2 linked regions of the Drosophila melanogaster genome follow. The protein of the gene in region 2 interacts with the protein of the main gene of each other region in a pairwise test. Each region holds a gene or a part of one and is shown on either strand. Other genes may lie near its edges. The genes, in order: kel and Grip71.

What was found.
Region 1: the proteins of Grip71 (region 2) and kel interact in a two-hybrid assay, tested with the Drosophila melanogaster proteins (2 studies listed by BioGRID).

The regions. Positions count from the first base shown.
Region 1 is NT_033779.5:18,132,258-18,139,948, forward strand, and holds the start of kel (kelch), read right to left. Parts: upstream 5,827-7,691; 5' UTR 5,675-5,826; coding exon 5,220-5,674; intron 3,719-5,219; coding exon 3,317-3,718; intron 2,570-3,316; coding exon 1,357-2,569; coding exon of another isoform or gene 1,331-1,356; intron 1,269-1,330; coding exon of another isoform or gene 706-1,268; intron 353-705; coding exon of another isoform or gene 1-352. Other genes in the region: Socs36E (suppressor of cytokine signaling at 36E), read right to left, coding at 7,588-7,691. UniProt on the Drosophila melanogaster protein: Component of ring canals that regulates the flow of cytoplasm between cells. May be involved in the regulation of cytoplasm flow from nurse cells to the oocyte during oogenesis. Binds actin.
Region 2 is NT_033779.5:18,706,213-18,713,628, reverse strand, and holds Grip71 (Grip71), read right to left. Parts: upstream 4,784-7,416; 5' UTR 4,692-4,783; coding exon 4,502-4,691; intron 4,443-4,501; coding exon 4,148-4,442; intron 4,086-4,147; coding exon 3,244-4,085; intron 3,189-3,243; coding exon 2,575-3,188; 3' UTR 2,332-2,574; downstream 1-2,331. Other genes in the region: Irk3 (inwardly rectifying potassium channel 3), read left to right, coding at 94-323, 467-677, 1,045-1,440, 1,519-1,625, 1,896-2,292; Faf2 (Fas-associated factor 2), read left to right, coding at 5,391-5,513, 5,768-6,832, 6,890-7,096.

The sequences.
Region 1 (7,691 bases), 570 kb from region 2:
TGTCCCACGGTTCCGAAGTGCGAGTGTCCCAATACCGCGTAATGTCCGCCCAAGTTATAGTGATCGATGTTGCCGCATGACGAGCTAAGGTGCCTTTCAATTCTTCCGATTCCATGACCCAAAACATCGAGACGTGTATAGAGCGGAACTCGATTCGCAGCGGATGTGCGGTAAAGTGGCTCATCTCGAATCTGCTCATAGATGTTCTCGTATCGCATTGTTCCCGCTCCGGCGTAAGGCAAATTGTAGCCGTCCGTGGACTCAGTGTCGTCAAAACTGCGCTGGCGTTGACAATTGGATCGACTGTTCGTATAAAGTGGAGTACAACGAAGACCGCTTCCACATCGATTTCCTAGAGTGGAAAATATAGCGATTAATGAAAATTCATTTGTTATACGAAAAGTTAGAAACTATGCGTTTAAATGCTGATTTAAATGTGGGCCGTTAAGAACTAATAATTGATTTGAACTTCGTGTTTGTTTTGAAGTTTAAATGGTTTTTGCTTCCTACCTCACAACATTTAAAAAGGCTGTTTGCTTAAAATATTCACGAAAATGAAGGCAAACCGATACGTACAAAGTTATATAGCACAAGCAACCGTTCAAAAAGAGGTTAATTGAAAGACAACTTTTGAGCACTTCATACTTAAAAGTACGAATCAAGCTAGTGTAACTGTCTTCTGCTTAATATTATTCTTAATCTCACCATTCTGCATATCAATCCTAAAGTTGCGTCTGTAACCAAGGCCAGATCTCACGGCTCTCGGAACATCATAGGCGGAGCAGACTCCGCCGGCGGCAGATCGATCATACAAATCATTCCTATAGTTATTCATGGGCAGTATGCGTTGAGGTTGTTGTGGCTGTGCTTGCTGTTGTTGTTGTTGTTGTGATGGTGCTGGAGCTGCTGCTGTTGGCGGTTGCGGATTATTGTTGGCATTAGGTTCAGTGGGAGCTGGTTGTTGTTGTTGCTGAATTTCCTCGGCATTTGCAGGGGCATTGGCATTGGCGATGGCTGCAGCTTGGTTGCTGTTGCTGCCGCTGTTATTGTTGTTGTTGCTGGGCTGTCCAATTGGCGCGTAGATGTTCTCGTAGTGCGGATGATTTGGCTGGGGAGCTTGAGCCGGCGCAGCTGGAGCTGCAGCCGCTGCAGCCCCACCAGCCGGCGCCAGATTACCGTAGATGGCACCACCAATGGCGCCCTCCATCGTGCCCTCCGCCTGGCTATTCTCATCATCCAGCAGTGCGATGGCCAACGAAGCAGCTTGGCTGAAAAGAAACAAGAGAGATTATTATAATTTGTTTTGGTAACAATGCTTCCATTGACTTACCGGGCCAATGCACCCTGCTCTTCCATTCACATGGGCTTGTCGATCATACACACGCCCGCATAGCTGCGTCCGATGGTCATCAAAGCAGGCAGTATTCTCCAACTGTCCGAGTCCGGGCAGTAGACCTCCACAGAAGCTAGATTTGAGGTGCCATCATCGCCACCGACCACATACAGCAGGCCATCATGAGCCACCACTCCCGCATTTCGCCGGCAATATGACATGTCTGCCACTGAACGCCAGGAGTTCGTTTCACAATCGTAGGCTTCAACAGATCTTCTGACCATGGGACCATCGTGACCGCCAACGGCATAAAGGATATTGTTCAGCACTCCCACTCCGGCGCCACTCCTCCGCGAACTCATTTCCGCCACATTAACCCATGTGTCCGTGTCCGGATTATAGCGCTCCACTGAAGATAAGCACTGACGAGTGAAGCCATCGTAACCGCCCACGGCATAAAGAAGTCCGTGGACGACGCCTACGCCCACAGAACTGCGACGCGTGGACATGGAGGCGATAAACCGCCAGATGTCAGTCTTGGGATCATACATCTCGGCACTCGACAGACCCGTAGTGCCATCGAATCCACCCACGGCGTATATGCAACCATTGAGGACAGCTACTCCCAGGGTAGATCGTCTGGCCTCCATGTTGCTGCAGTTTGCCCACTGATCCGTGGCAGGATCGTAGACATCTACGGTGCGCACACGCAGTGATCCATTGAAACCTCCGACAGCATAGACTTTGTCACCCAGGACACTTAAGCCGGAGCGGCATCTGCGGTTGGGCATTTCGGCGGCCTGGTACCACTTTTCCTCTCGCAGATCATACCACTCCACCGATCGTATAGCCTTGGGTGCTTGTCCTCCAATAACGAGCAGTATCTTGGGCATGCCCACCGGCTTCCTGGGCACCGTTCTAGCGGACTTTGTCTCAGTGGGCAGTAGATGATAGGTCAATGCCTCAATGATGAGATTCTTGCACACGATATTGCCCTCGAGGAGGATCTCCTTGTCCACACGTTGTGTGATGTACTCCTTGGACAGGAACGGCAGACGCACATGCTCCATGAGCAACGAGGTGAACTGTTCCCGCATAGGAACATCGTAGCGCAGCCAGGCGATGACGCACTCGTATACGCGCTCCTCATTTGGAACCGAAATCCGGTCGTTGCCAATCAGGCTGATGACCTGCTCGTGCGAGAGGTTCAGAAACTCATCGAACTGGATCACCTCGCTGCAAATAAACCAAACACAAGCAGTTAGTAATGGGGCGCAAGGAATGAGAGGAGTGGGCTAAGTAAATTTAATTAATCGCAACCGGTTCAATGGTTTATATTGCACATTTGCTTTCGGTTTTGCGTCTGTTTACTGTTATATAAACTTAATAATTAACTAATTTTGTTTCTGCCTGATGAAATCAATGAGAACTTATATAATTCTGATACTTTGGTTATTACTAATTCAGTAGTTGAATTCGAAAATATAATTAATATAAGATTAAATTCGTGATCTTATGGAAACCCAAAATTAGCGACTTCAAACAGATGCTGGAAGACACCAATGCGTGACTGTTAAACTATTTAAATTTTGATACATTCCAAACACACCTAGGAATTTAATCGTTTTTATAATATAATTAAAAATCCTTTTTGTTGAGTCTAAGGAACTTTAACTTGACACATGTTATTAAATGTTACTATAATTATTAAAATATCTGATCCCATTAATCGATTCAATTGATATTGTTGTACGGCAGCTTTCTATCCTCAATAAATAATAAATAAATAGTCACTTCACTGGAATTTAAATACGAATTACTATCCGTAGATATAGAACAAACTAAAGTGAGTCTTCCCAATATACATGCTCTAAAAGTGAACACTGAACAGATACAGTAATGGATTCCTATCTGTAAACAGGCAAATCAAAACAATTTTATATTTGTCTGCCCATACTGCGTCATCACAATCTAGCCACTTACTTGAAATGCTGCTCGATGTAGGTCTCTGCGTAATTGAGAAGTTCCACGCAGGCATGAATATCGGCAAACTCCCGGATGCCGAGGCAATTACTGGCATCCAACTGAGTTTGCAGGAAGTCGCAGCAGGCATCTCGCACATCCGTGAGCTGGAGCAGGTTGGCGGCGGTCAAGAGGACTTGCACGTTATCCTCGTTTACCTCCACCGTGGCAGTGTATACGTAGTCGATGAGCAGCTCCAAGGCCCGAGCATCGACACTCTGGAGGGTGATCCTCGCCTGCCGCGACTCCTCGAAACTGGTGAACATCGCATAGAAGTACGGACTGCAGGAGGCCAGCACCATGCGGTGAGCGTGGATCTCCACATCGTCGGCCACCAATATCACATCACAGAGCTGTTTTTGTCTGTTATAGGTAAAAATATATATATATCAGATTTGATACATTTTTTTGTACGCAGTAAATTGGTTAGTAACCGTCATGTATCGACAATATTGAGACTTTGAAATCCACTAGCAATAGATCGTTTTGATTGCCAAATAAACAGTTTAAAAGCGTGCTAAATATCTTCAAGGCTGGTATGTATGTTTGTAAACAAAAGTGCTTGAATTTTTTCAAGAGGAAAATATTTTGTTTTGTAAAAAGAGACGGGGATGCTATTAACTGTGCAAATTATGGCGCCATTAAATGATGATGACTACTCGAAAAGACTAAGATCTTTTGTCTTCAAAATCGTAAGGTGTTATAATTATAACCCAATAAAAAAAATCTCATAGAATATACACCTCACGAAATATTTGTGTGATTCAATTCCCAATCAAAAAGCAATCCACATTACAACGCTCGGCTTACTTTTTGGGTTATACCACATTCACTTTCGCGCCGAATACGATATGATTGGTCCGAAAAAAAAAACTCGTTTTATGTAAGCTACCAATAAATTTTCCATACGCCCAGTAGTTTTCCAAAAAGTAAGCAAAGGCGGAGACGCGGAAGCGGAATCGAAATGCGATTCGAAAACGAATATCATTTTTGGCCGCAACCAAGTTCAAGGTCGTGGCCCAATGCGAAACCCGAAGGCGTAAGCAACTCATCATAATAAAAACTAGACAATAATTAATGCGAATGGCCCCACGACAAAAGCGGCGGCAAATATTCGTTTATACATATGTAGTGTGCAAACACAAATATTAGCAACGGCCAGATAAACAAAGCGAACTGCGCAAATATGCGAGAGACGATCATCTGACATTTTCAGAGATTTTATTTTCGCATCTTGGCCCAAATCTCAAAGCTCGAGAGCCAGTCGGTCCACCTGTTCCCGTCGAACACGCAGGGATTGAATCATGCGCCTTTGTCCGGGAACAGAGGAGATGAGTTTATAATAGAGTGTAGTTAGCACAGTTCTATTTATATTAAGTTGAGGTAGGTCGTCATATTTAACAACTGAAAGTTTTAGTGGTAGAAACTCAGATCAGCTTGTTTTGTCAAGGAAATAGTAACTGGGAAATAGCTGACACCTTTTTAGAACCTGAACGAACGTTCAGCTGGTTTGCTGTTGAGCAAACAAATGACATTTGAAACATTTTTCGAACCGTTGTAGGTGTGCTTATTTACATAATCAGGCTATAAAATCACATAGATCTAATTCTGCATATCATTAAAAGTCCTATGTGGGTGCTGTGTGTTCTATTCTCCAGGGCAGGTACAAAATAACCAATGTTCTACCTAAGGTTTTTAAAACCTCTCACAGGTAGGAATTAGGATATAATACTATTTGTGGATCTAAATATACTGCCTTAAGGTCTTTAGAAACCCTGGCTACTTCTTTATGATGCTTAAGGACTTAACCAAATTTTATAGTCGTACGAACTGATCCTTCGACAGGATCTCGTGCCATCCTTACTTTCTCATCTCGTTCATGGCGTCGAAGGAGCGCGCCGTATGCTGTTCATTGCTGTACTGCCCCACAGTGCCGCGCTCCTTGCCATTTGGCCGCTGGACGTGCTTCTGGGAGCTCTCGTCCAGGGAGTTCTGGCTGGCGTAGCGCAGAAGGCAGCTGCCCCGCTCCAGGCCACTTCCCTCGGCGGCGGGATTCTGATGGTGGTGGTGCTGCTGCTGTTGCTGCTGCAGCAGGCGGTTGCGCTGCTGCATGGCTGCCACGCCCACTGCGGCACCTAGTCCGGGCGGTGGCGCCACGAACTCCGCTCCCGCTCCGCCTTCATTCTGTGCTGGTTGTTGTGGGTTCTGACCCTGTTGTTGTTGCTGCTGCTGCTGGTTGTTGTTGTTGCTGTTGCCATTGCTTAGGTTGCTCATAATACCGATCGTATATTTGGTTAGCAGCGCACTCAGAGCTATCATCCGAAACGGATCGGAAACGGAAGTCGCAGCGAATCGAAGGTGCCTCGCCTGGTCCGAAAAAACAAACCGAGGTGGTGAAAAATTGTACACTTTTTGGACGCGACCAGAGCAGTGTGACCAGCCTCGGGTTGGTCGCAAGTTACCACTAGCGATGAATACTCATCGATAGTCCGATAGGCATTTTCAACCAGTTCTCACTGAGCTGGCTTTGTTTCCAACTATAAAATTAATGATAAAGTCATTTAATTTTTGAATTTTTGTAATTCACTTGAATTACATCTTAAATATGACCTCTCCCCTTTAATTTTTATTTATACGTACGTTTCAAAAAGTGTGATTTTTAAATTGATATACAAACTAATATTCCACATTTACCTAAACTTAAAAAAAGCATACCTAATTCATCTTATAAAAATATATAAATAAAATTGCAAAAAGATTACAAATATGCGACACAGAATTCATTAAGATTGCATATTCGAATTCCATAAAAGAAAGTAAAAAAGGTTTAGTTCAGCATAATCTTGATAGAATATCTATAGATATTTTATAGATATAAAATAAAATAAATAGAAATCTATAGATTTTAGTTGATTACTCTCATTTTATAAAGAATTCACGACTTTATAATGAAAATAACGAATGAGTTAAACATTCATTTGTTAAAGATATTAAAATACATCAATCATTTGGGTTGATTATGATTCCACACTTCTGATTCAAAACACACTTTGAGATTTTTTCTAATATCTTGATCAACTTTATTTGTTTGACTCTTTTTTCGATTTTGTTTTTGAATATTGATACGCATGCTCATCAACATGTGAGATATGTAAAATACATTAAATAGGTATTGGAAACAACTGCTTATTGAATGTTTACGAATAACAGCAACCACCTAGGTAGGAATACATGATTTATAATTCATTATATTAATATAGCTACAGCTTAATGCGAAAATCGGTAGTATTTACAAATGCTCTACACGTGTACAACTGACGGGTTTTTTCTTTTTAAACAAAGCACTCGCTTGCGAACGAAATCACTTCGAATAAATAAATAAAGTATATTCATAAATAGGCGAAAATTACATTTGGAAATTTGGCTAATGAGAGAGTTTTACACTAACTAAGCTGCATTCGTATCTCGTATTTACACGTAACAGTAACACATCATTTAGATTCCATACTTCAAATAAATACAATGAAATATTACAAGAATACCAGCGATTACGAAAAGCTCGATTGGCCCTTCTTTTTGCAATACTTATGTGTGTAGGAGAGAGGGTTGCTTTAGATAATAATACTTAGTTTATAGTACAATTAGCTAACTGCGATTTCGATTCTACATTCTACCAGCTCGCTTTCAAGAGTGCCACAACTCAAAAATCCGTCCGAGCTGCATTCCAATAGGTGAGATATATATGGTGAACATTTGGTTTTTGATCCATGACAGTCTTGTAGTAGCGAGCTAGCGATTTTGTTATGTGGCTTCGCGTTTGATCTTTTAACTTATGGTGGCGGCACACGCTGCACTGGGATTGTCTCAGTTTGAGTTTTGGTTTCTGGGTTCTGTTTGCCCCTCCGTCCACGTCCTGATCCTCAGGAGGAGTTGGAGTGACGCTCCGGCGTGGCGACAGTCTTCTGGTAGCAATTCAGATTGGCCGACATCCGACCAAAGGCGGCTGCCATGCGGTTGGGCAGCCTGCTGAGGTGCTCCTGAAGATTGGACGATCTGGATGAGGACGGAGCCGATGGGCCCGACGCCGTGGTGACCTGCTGCAGCTGGGCCACCACCTCGGCGTGCTGAACGTAGGAGACCCGTATGTTGACCCCCTCGTCGTCGTCCTCGTCCACCTCGCTGCCGCTCTCCACGTCCTCGTAGTAGGTGAAGCCCACCTGCTGCTCCTCCCGCTATACATTGCCGTAGTACGGCATCGGGGTGTTCTGGTCGATGGGCTTGACGCGCAGCTTCTGCTTGTAGTGATACTCCTTAAGGTAGCTCTTCAGCCGACCGG
Region 2 (7,416 bases):
CGAGTGAAATTGCCCCAAATTTCCGACAATTATAGGCCACGCTCTCGTCAGTGATTCCGCGTCGACGTAGGCGGCAATAGCTGAATCCCGGTCATGCAATCGGACGCATCTCCCCTGGGAGCTGCTGCCACGGATTCCCTAACCATGCATCGCTCAACCTCCATGCCGGTGAAGCCCAAGCCACTGGAGCAGAAGCCACTGCTCCGTTCCTCCGAAAAGGAGACGGTCAATGCGTCCGATTACTATCCGGAGAGTCCGGGATTCGTACGGCGCAGAAGGTCAAAAGCAGCCGGCGATCACCTGGAAACACGCAGCGAGCAAAAGTGAGTTGAGTTTAGGCAAAAGAAATTACCAATCAGATAGTTGTTATAATGACTATGGATACTAAGAAACGAAAACCTTTATTTTCTATGAACTTTTCTGGTATTATAAAAACCCTACAAGTTTATATAAATAATAATATAAGTCCCACGTTTAGTTTCCCCTACGCACACGACTGGGCGGGCAGTACGATTGAGCTTACTCCAGATTTGGGATCCGGACCGCGGACTTCCTCCTCCGATGGACTGAGACGCAGCCTTAATCGCGTGATGGAAAAGAACGGCAAGGAGAACGTTGTGTTCCGCCGCATTCCGGAGAAGTCATGGCGCTACATGCGGGATCTGGTCACCACGCTGGTAAGATCCTGGTTCGGACACAGGAAAACGTCTACACCCAGGGCCGATCAATCGCGATCGGATGTGTATAGCATAACGCCCAGTATTCAGCGCAGACTCGATGAACTGGCCAATGAGCCACCGCACCTGAGTCCCCATTTTTCGAAGTCTAATCCTAACCAAAACGAGCGCGTCACGTTCAGCATATAGTTTGTAGTACATTGATCAAGCCATGACCGACTAAAATACTCACACATATTAATAAATACGTATTAACCAACCACATATTCACTTGCTAAATTGAAGGGATACACAGTAAAGATATTAAAATGGGTCGTATTTTCATTCATTGGTAATCCATAAAGGTCGTTTCTTTCCAATCGCGCAGATGGAACTGGAGTGGAAGTATATGCTGACCCTGTTCCTGGGCAGCTACTTCCTCAGCTGGCTGCTCTTCGCCGCCCTCTGCTACGTGGTGGCCTACTCGCACGGTGACTTCATCTTCGATCCGGTAAGTGGCAAGCGAATGGGCGAGGGCGTGGATCCCTGCATCTACGGGGTGCACAGCTGGGTGGCCATGATCATATACTCTGTGGAAACACAGACGACCCTCGGATTCGGCGAAAAATACGCCAGCGAGGAGTGTCCGGAGACGATCTTCCTGTTCGTCATGCAGATGTTGAGTGCGGCCCTAATCGAGGGCTGTATGGTGAGCGTGATCTATGCCAAGACCGCACGGCCGGCGAGGCAGCTGACCAAGCTGAAGTTCAGCGATAAGGCGGTGGTAAGTAAAATGCCTCCACTGGGCGAGAGGAGTACACCCAACCATTCGGATCCATCCTTTAGCGATTATCTCACGTAGATCTGTTATCGCGACGGCAGGCTTTGTTTGCTCTTCCGCGTCTGTGATCCCCGCGAGCAGCAGTCCATCGAGTCCAAGATACGAGTCTACATCATCGTGGACAAACGGTGAGTCACAGTCGCATTTTAGGGAAAATCATAGAACTTAAGAATCCGCGGTTAATTTGGGTATATTTTCCTATTTTGTCTTGATCTTCAACGTTTTTTTTTCAATATTTATAAATGCTATAGAAACAATTTAATCACACTTGACTCCTGAAATATTGACCCAGTCATAAGGAAAGTCATAAATGAACTGACCTTCCATTCAGATAGTACTTGCTGCTGGATAAAACAAGCAATTAATACGAACCCCCATCTTATCTATTTCTCTGACAGCACGCGCGAGGGTGAGACTATAAAAAGTCACGTGGAACTGAAGCTGGAGGGGAATGGGGAGCAGATTATTCTCTGGCCCGATGTGGTGTGCCATGTCATCGATGAGACCAGCCCGTTGTCTCAGTTCACCACAGCGAAACTCTTCAATGCTGCCCAATTTGAGTTGTATGTGTCCATTGTGGGCACTTCGCCTGCCACAGCGCAGATGACGGAGGCCAAGACGTCCTATCTGCCAAGGGAGATTTTCTGGGGCCAGCGGTTCGTCAATATCATCCATTACGACGCCCAAAACGAGCGCTACATTGTCGACTACGAGAACTTCAACAGGACCATATCGGTGGACATGCCCATGACGAATCCGAAAAATGATCACTTAAAGCTAGAGTACAGAAAGTGAAAAGGGTTTTAAAAAATACATTTTAAGAAGCTTTCTTATCGCATTACACTTTTGGCAGCACTATATTAATAACGAATTCAAAAACATTTTATAGACCGAGGTAAATATTCTAAAACATTTGTAAAATATCTAAATGGATCGATTAACGAATTAAAATTTACATAAAACTCATGAGACGCCAAAACCTATTTTGAAAAATGTTACTAATAGTTGATAATAACAATAAATTAAATACAATAATAACAATGTTTCAATTAATTATTAACATGTCTCCCCCTCGTTTTACTCTCCGCATGATTCAGTTTGCTCCTGCTCCTGGTAAAACTTCAATTTGGCCTTTAACATTTCGTTTTCATTTTGTAGGCGCGAGAACTCGCGCATGAAGCTATCTCCTTGAAGTAGTAAAGCCAGGGCGTCCCGGATCTCCCTTGTGTTTTCCACCTGCTGGTCCATGTAGTTGGTCATCTTATTAGCCAATAGCCGCTGATTAGAGAAGGTAACGTACTCCAATTCGCGCTCCACCTTCTCGCAGCGCTGGTCTACAAAATCTCTTAGCTCGCTGAATTCCTTGCGCCAATCTGCATCCATTTGGGCGGAAAGTCCGCTTGACGATTTGGCCAGCAACTGCTGAGGCTTCAAGAGAGGATTTGAGGATTGTGGTGTGATGTTAGCATGGTGCGGGGTACTGTTTCGACTGGCCGAAAGCAAGCGCAGACGGCGTTTCATTTCTGCGTCAACCGGCGGGGGATTCTCTTTGTCGCTGCCGCCTCCTGTGCTGCTGGCCACGGAAATGTTGGCAGACTGCTCCTCGCAGAGCTCGTCCGTCTCGGCAATCTTCATCAGCTTTCCGTCTCCGGAAATGTTGCTCCGATCCTTCAGTGGGCCGCTTAAGGTCTCTGCAAGTAATAAGCTTATTATAACTAAAAAATAATAATCTCTACAGTAACTTGCGTTGCAGTGACTCCGTGGTGGAGCTGTTGACGGAGTTATCCACCGAGCTTGGGCCAGACGCCACTGGAGGACAAAGACTTTGACGATTGGCAGTTTCATAAGGTTGCGGTTTTCGGTTGAGCGTCTCCCAGTCAAAACTATCTCTGTAAGAGGCGCCCAAGCGGGTCGACATGCGATCCACAGCTCTTGGACCTTGGGCATCCAGGAACTCGCAAAAGGAATCCCGGCGAACTATGGTAGGTGTTGACACCCCGTAACCAAGACTGGTCAGCTGGTTTTGGGTGCTCAACAAATTAGCGGCAATCGATTTACGCAACTCATCGCTGGGCGCACGCTCTACACGAGGAGCTTCGGTCGCCAAACCAGTTGCATTTTCGGAGCTGTTGAGGCTACCGTTCTGCTGGTTATCCCCACTTGGCACGGGCACAAAGGCTACACGTGTTACAGCCGCATCATGTACACTCCTCACGGCCAACGGAGCCTTTGTACTCCTCATATCATAGGCTATTAATTCGCCCTTAAGGTTTCCAGCACAAAGATAAGTGCCACATTCACTCAGCGCCACCGTCGATAGTGGATGCGAGTAGGTCAAGCGATCCGTAGAGGCCTGAGCACGATTTCGTCGAATGTCGAAGATATTTATCTTGCAATCGTAGCCCACGCTGACCAGCAGTGCCGGTTGGGATGTGCACATACTGATGTCCCGGCAGGGAGCACTGTGGGCTTCGCTGGCATGAAAAATCTTTCGCATTCCCTGCACATCATAGACAGTCACGGCTCCTTTATAGGAAGCGATCGACAGATGAAAGCGTTTGCTCGGATGAAAGCGCACAAGAGTAGAGCTGATATTAACAGGATAGCGAAAGATCAATGCAATCCTTTAACAAGCAAGCCTTTAACTTACTCGCCATCTATGGTGAAGGTGTTGGTCTTCTGTTTGGTCTTGGTACCCAAGATACTGATGTCCCCGCCATCGCGCACGGCGGCTATATACTCGTCCGTGTTGTTGTAGTCCATGTAGAGGACAGTACTCCTTTGCGGGTCCGCCGGAAAACGATGGATGAGCTGTGCCGTCCGAAAGTTGTATAGCTTAACACAACCGCTCTGACCCACAGCGATCTCTTCCAGGGATTGCTTGGCGCACGCCACACAGAAGGCATTGTCGATGGTGAGCTTACGGACTCGTTGAATCTCGGGCGCTGTGAAATGGGAAGTTAATTACATACGTGGGATTTGGGGATCCGCACCTCTCTCTTACTCTTGCCATCCTTCTCCTTTATTCGCATCACGGCCAAGCCCGCCATTTTATCCACCTCCACGAAGACCCGGCGTTGGCCGTTGAACTGAAAGTCCGTGGGCTCTGCGTTCTGGTGCACATACTCAGACTTTGTCTCCAGATCCGCGAAGTCGGAGAGCACGGTTTTTTTAGACGTGGAAATAACATGCATTTTGATTTATTTCTTCAGATATTTACACAATTCAAATTTGAGTGCTTTTGTTCGGACTGATTTAAGAATGTGCCCGCTGCTTTATTACCTGAAAATTCCAAAGCTCGTCCGTCGATTTTCCAAGTGATGTTAGACAAATATGCTGATTCCACTACACATTGTCCTTATCTAACACCTTTGAATTATATATCAATATTGCTTTTAATCTTTTTCTGTGTTTTACCACGCCAGGCATAGAGATCAAATAAATAATAAAAATAATTTTTTAAAAAGCGAACACAAATTGTTTGTTTGCCGCTGGATTTCGCAGTGAGAACGCGTCGGCCTGCGCGGTCACACTAGTCATTCACAACCAAATTCATCGGATCATTGGCAGAAAGGCAAGAAGAAGAGCAAGCAATCACCTGCGAAAAAGAAATAAATTGCCGAGAAATGTTAAAGACGTTGTAGTGCGGCAATTTGGCGTGCGTTGAAATGACTCCTGGCGACCAGTAGAAGCATTTAGTGACCACGCTACTCATCCCCCGTCCCCCGCCGCAGCGGCTGAGCCACTGGACAAAGGCCAGCTTACAACAAAAACAACACCAGGGAGACAGTCACGGGCCATTGGCACCCACACAAGCACACACACGCACGCACTGCGTAAAAGCAAACAACAACGATAACAACTGGGAACGGAGGCCTTCAACTGCAGGAAAGATGGAAGCTGATGGACTGACCAACGAACAGACGGAGAAGGTCCTCCAGTTCCAGGATCTCACCGGCATCGAGGATATGAACGTCTGCCGCGACGTCCTAATCAGACACCAATGGGATCTCGAGGTATGCATATGTTTATATGCCCACACAGTGAATGTCAAAATAACAGGGTCACGTAGTCTTGCAGTCTTGCATACAGTGGTGGCTGCAAGAATACTACTACCAACAAGTTTTGTACATATATATTATCTGACGACTAAAGATAGTAATCATTTTATTCTAAATTCTTTTTAAATTTGTTTTTTACAATTTTGCGTTGGGCGCCCTGCTATACTAAATACCAGCTTATTTACCCTTTTTCATATCTACATATGCAGGTGGCCTTCCAGGAGCAGCTAAATATCCGCGAGGGGCGTCCGACCATGTTCGCCGCCTCTACAGATGTCCGAGCGCCCGCTGTCCTTAACGATCGCTTCCTGCAGCAGGTGTTTTCCGCCAACATGCCTGGCGGAAGGACGGTTAGCCGGGTGCCCAGTGGCCCCGTTCCCCGCAGCTTCACCGGCATCATTGGATATGTGATTAACTTCGTGTTTCAGTACTTCTACTCCACGCTGACGAGCATCGTCAGTGCGTTTGTGAACCTGGGCGGAGGAAACGAAGCCCGCTTGGTGACAGATCCACTGGGGGATGTGATGAAGTTTATTAGGGAATACTACGAAAGGTATCCCGAGCACCCGGTCTTCTATCAGGGCACATATGCCCAGGCCCTTAACGATGCTAAGCAGGAGCTGCGTTTTCTAATCGTTTACCTGCACAAGGATCCCGCCAAGAACCCAGATGTGGAATCCTTCTGCCGCAACACACTGTCGGCGAGATCGGTCATTGACTACATTAACACACACACCCTGTTATGGGGATGCGACGTAGCCACGCCGGAGGGCTACCGGGTGATGCAGTCGATAACGGTGCGCAGCTACCCAACGATGGTGATGATCAGCCTTCGAGCAAATCGCATGATGATCGTCGGACGTTTCGAGGGGGATTGCACGCCCGAAGAGCTGCTCCGTCGCCTCCAGTCGGTGACGAACGCCAACGAGGTGTGGCTGAGTCAAGCGCGTGCAGATCGCTTAGAGCGGAATTTTACACAGACTTTAAGAAGACAGCAGGACGAGGCATACGAGCAGAGTTTGCTTGCGGACGAGGAGAAGGAGCGTCAGCGGCAAAGGGAGCGGGATGCCGTCCGGCAGGCGGAGGAGGCTGTGGAACAAGCTCGACGCGATGTCGAGCTTCGCAAGGAGGAGATTGCCCGGCAAAAGATCGAGCTGGCCACATTGGTGCCATCCGAGCCGGCAGCGGATGCTGTCGGCGCCATTGCAGTTGTATTCAAGCTGCCCAGTGGAACACGCCTAGAGCGCCGATTTAACCAGACGGATTCGGTGCTTGTAAGTTACACAAATTTAAACTGCTAATTTGGGATTGATGATTTGATGTTATTGCAGGACGTTTATCACTATCTCTTCTGCCATCCCGATTCGCCGGATGAGTTCGAGATCACAACGAATTTCCCGAAGCGCGTGCTCTTCTCGAAAGCGAACTTGGATGCCGCTGGGGAAACAGGCACAGCCAAGGAGACGCTGACCAAAACCCTTCAGGCCGTAGGACTCAAGAACCGCGAGGTGCTGTTCGTTAACGATCTGGAAGCGTAACCAAGCACCACCTACCAAATGAAAGCATCATCGTGTTACCAGCAGCAACGCATTACCAAAACTTGAACCAAGTTTTAAGTAGTCGTAGTCAACGTCCAAGTCGGAGGATAAATAGAGAAACTATTCCTAATTTAATCATGAACATTAATATTAATAATTGTTTAACAATGTTTAGGTTGATTCTCTGATCTGCCCAACACCATCAACCAACCCGTTTCTCAAACATTCACACATCAGTAAAAATCGTTTCCAGAATAATTTCCGTGAACCACAATTTAGTTCTTTTTATTTAAGATGCGTTGTTATGTTAGCTGTACTTA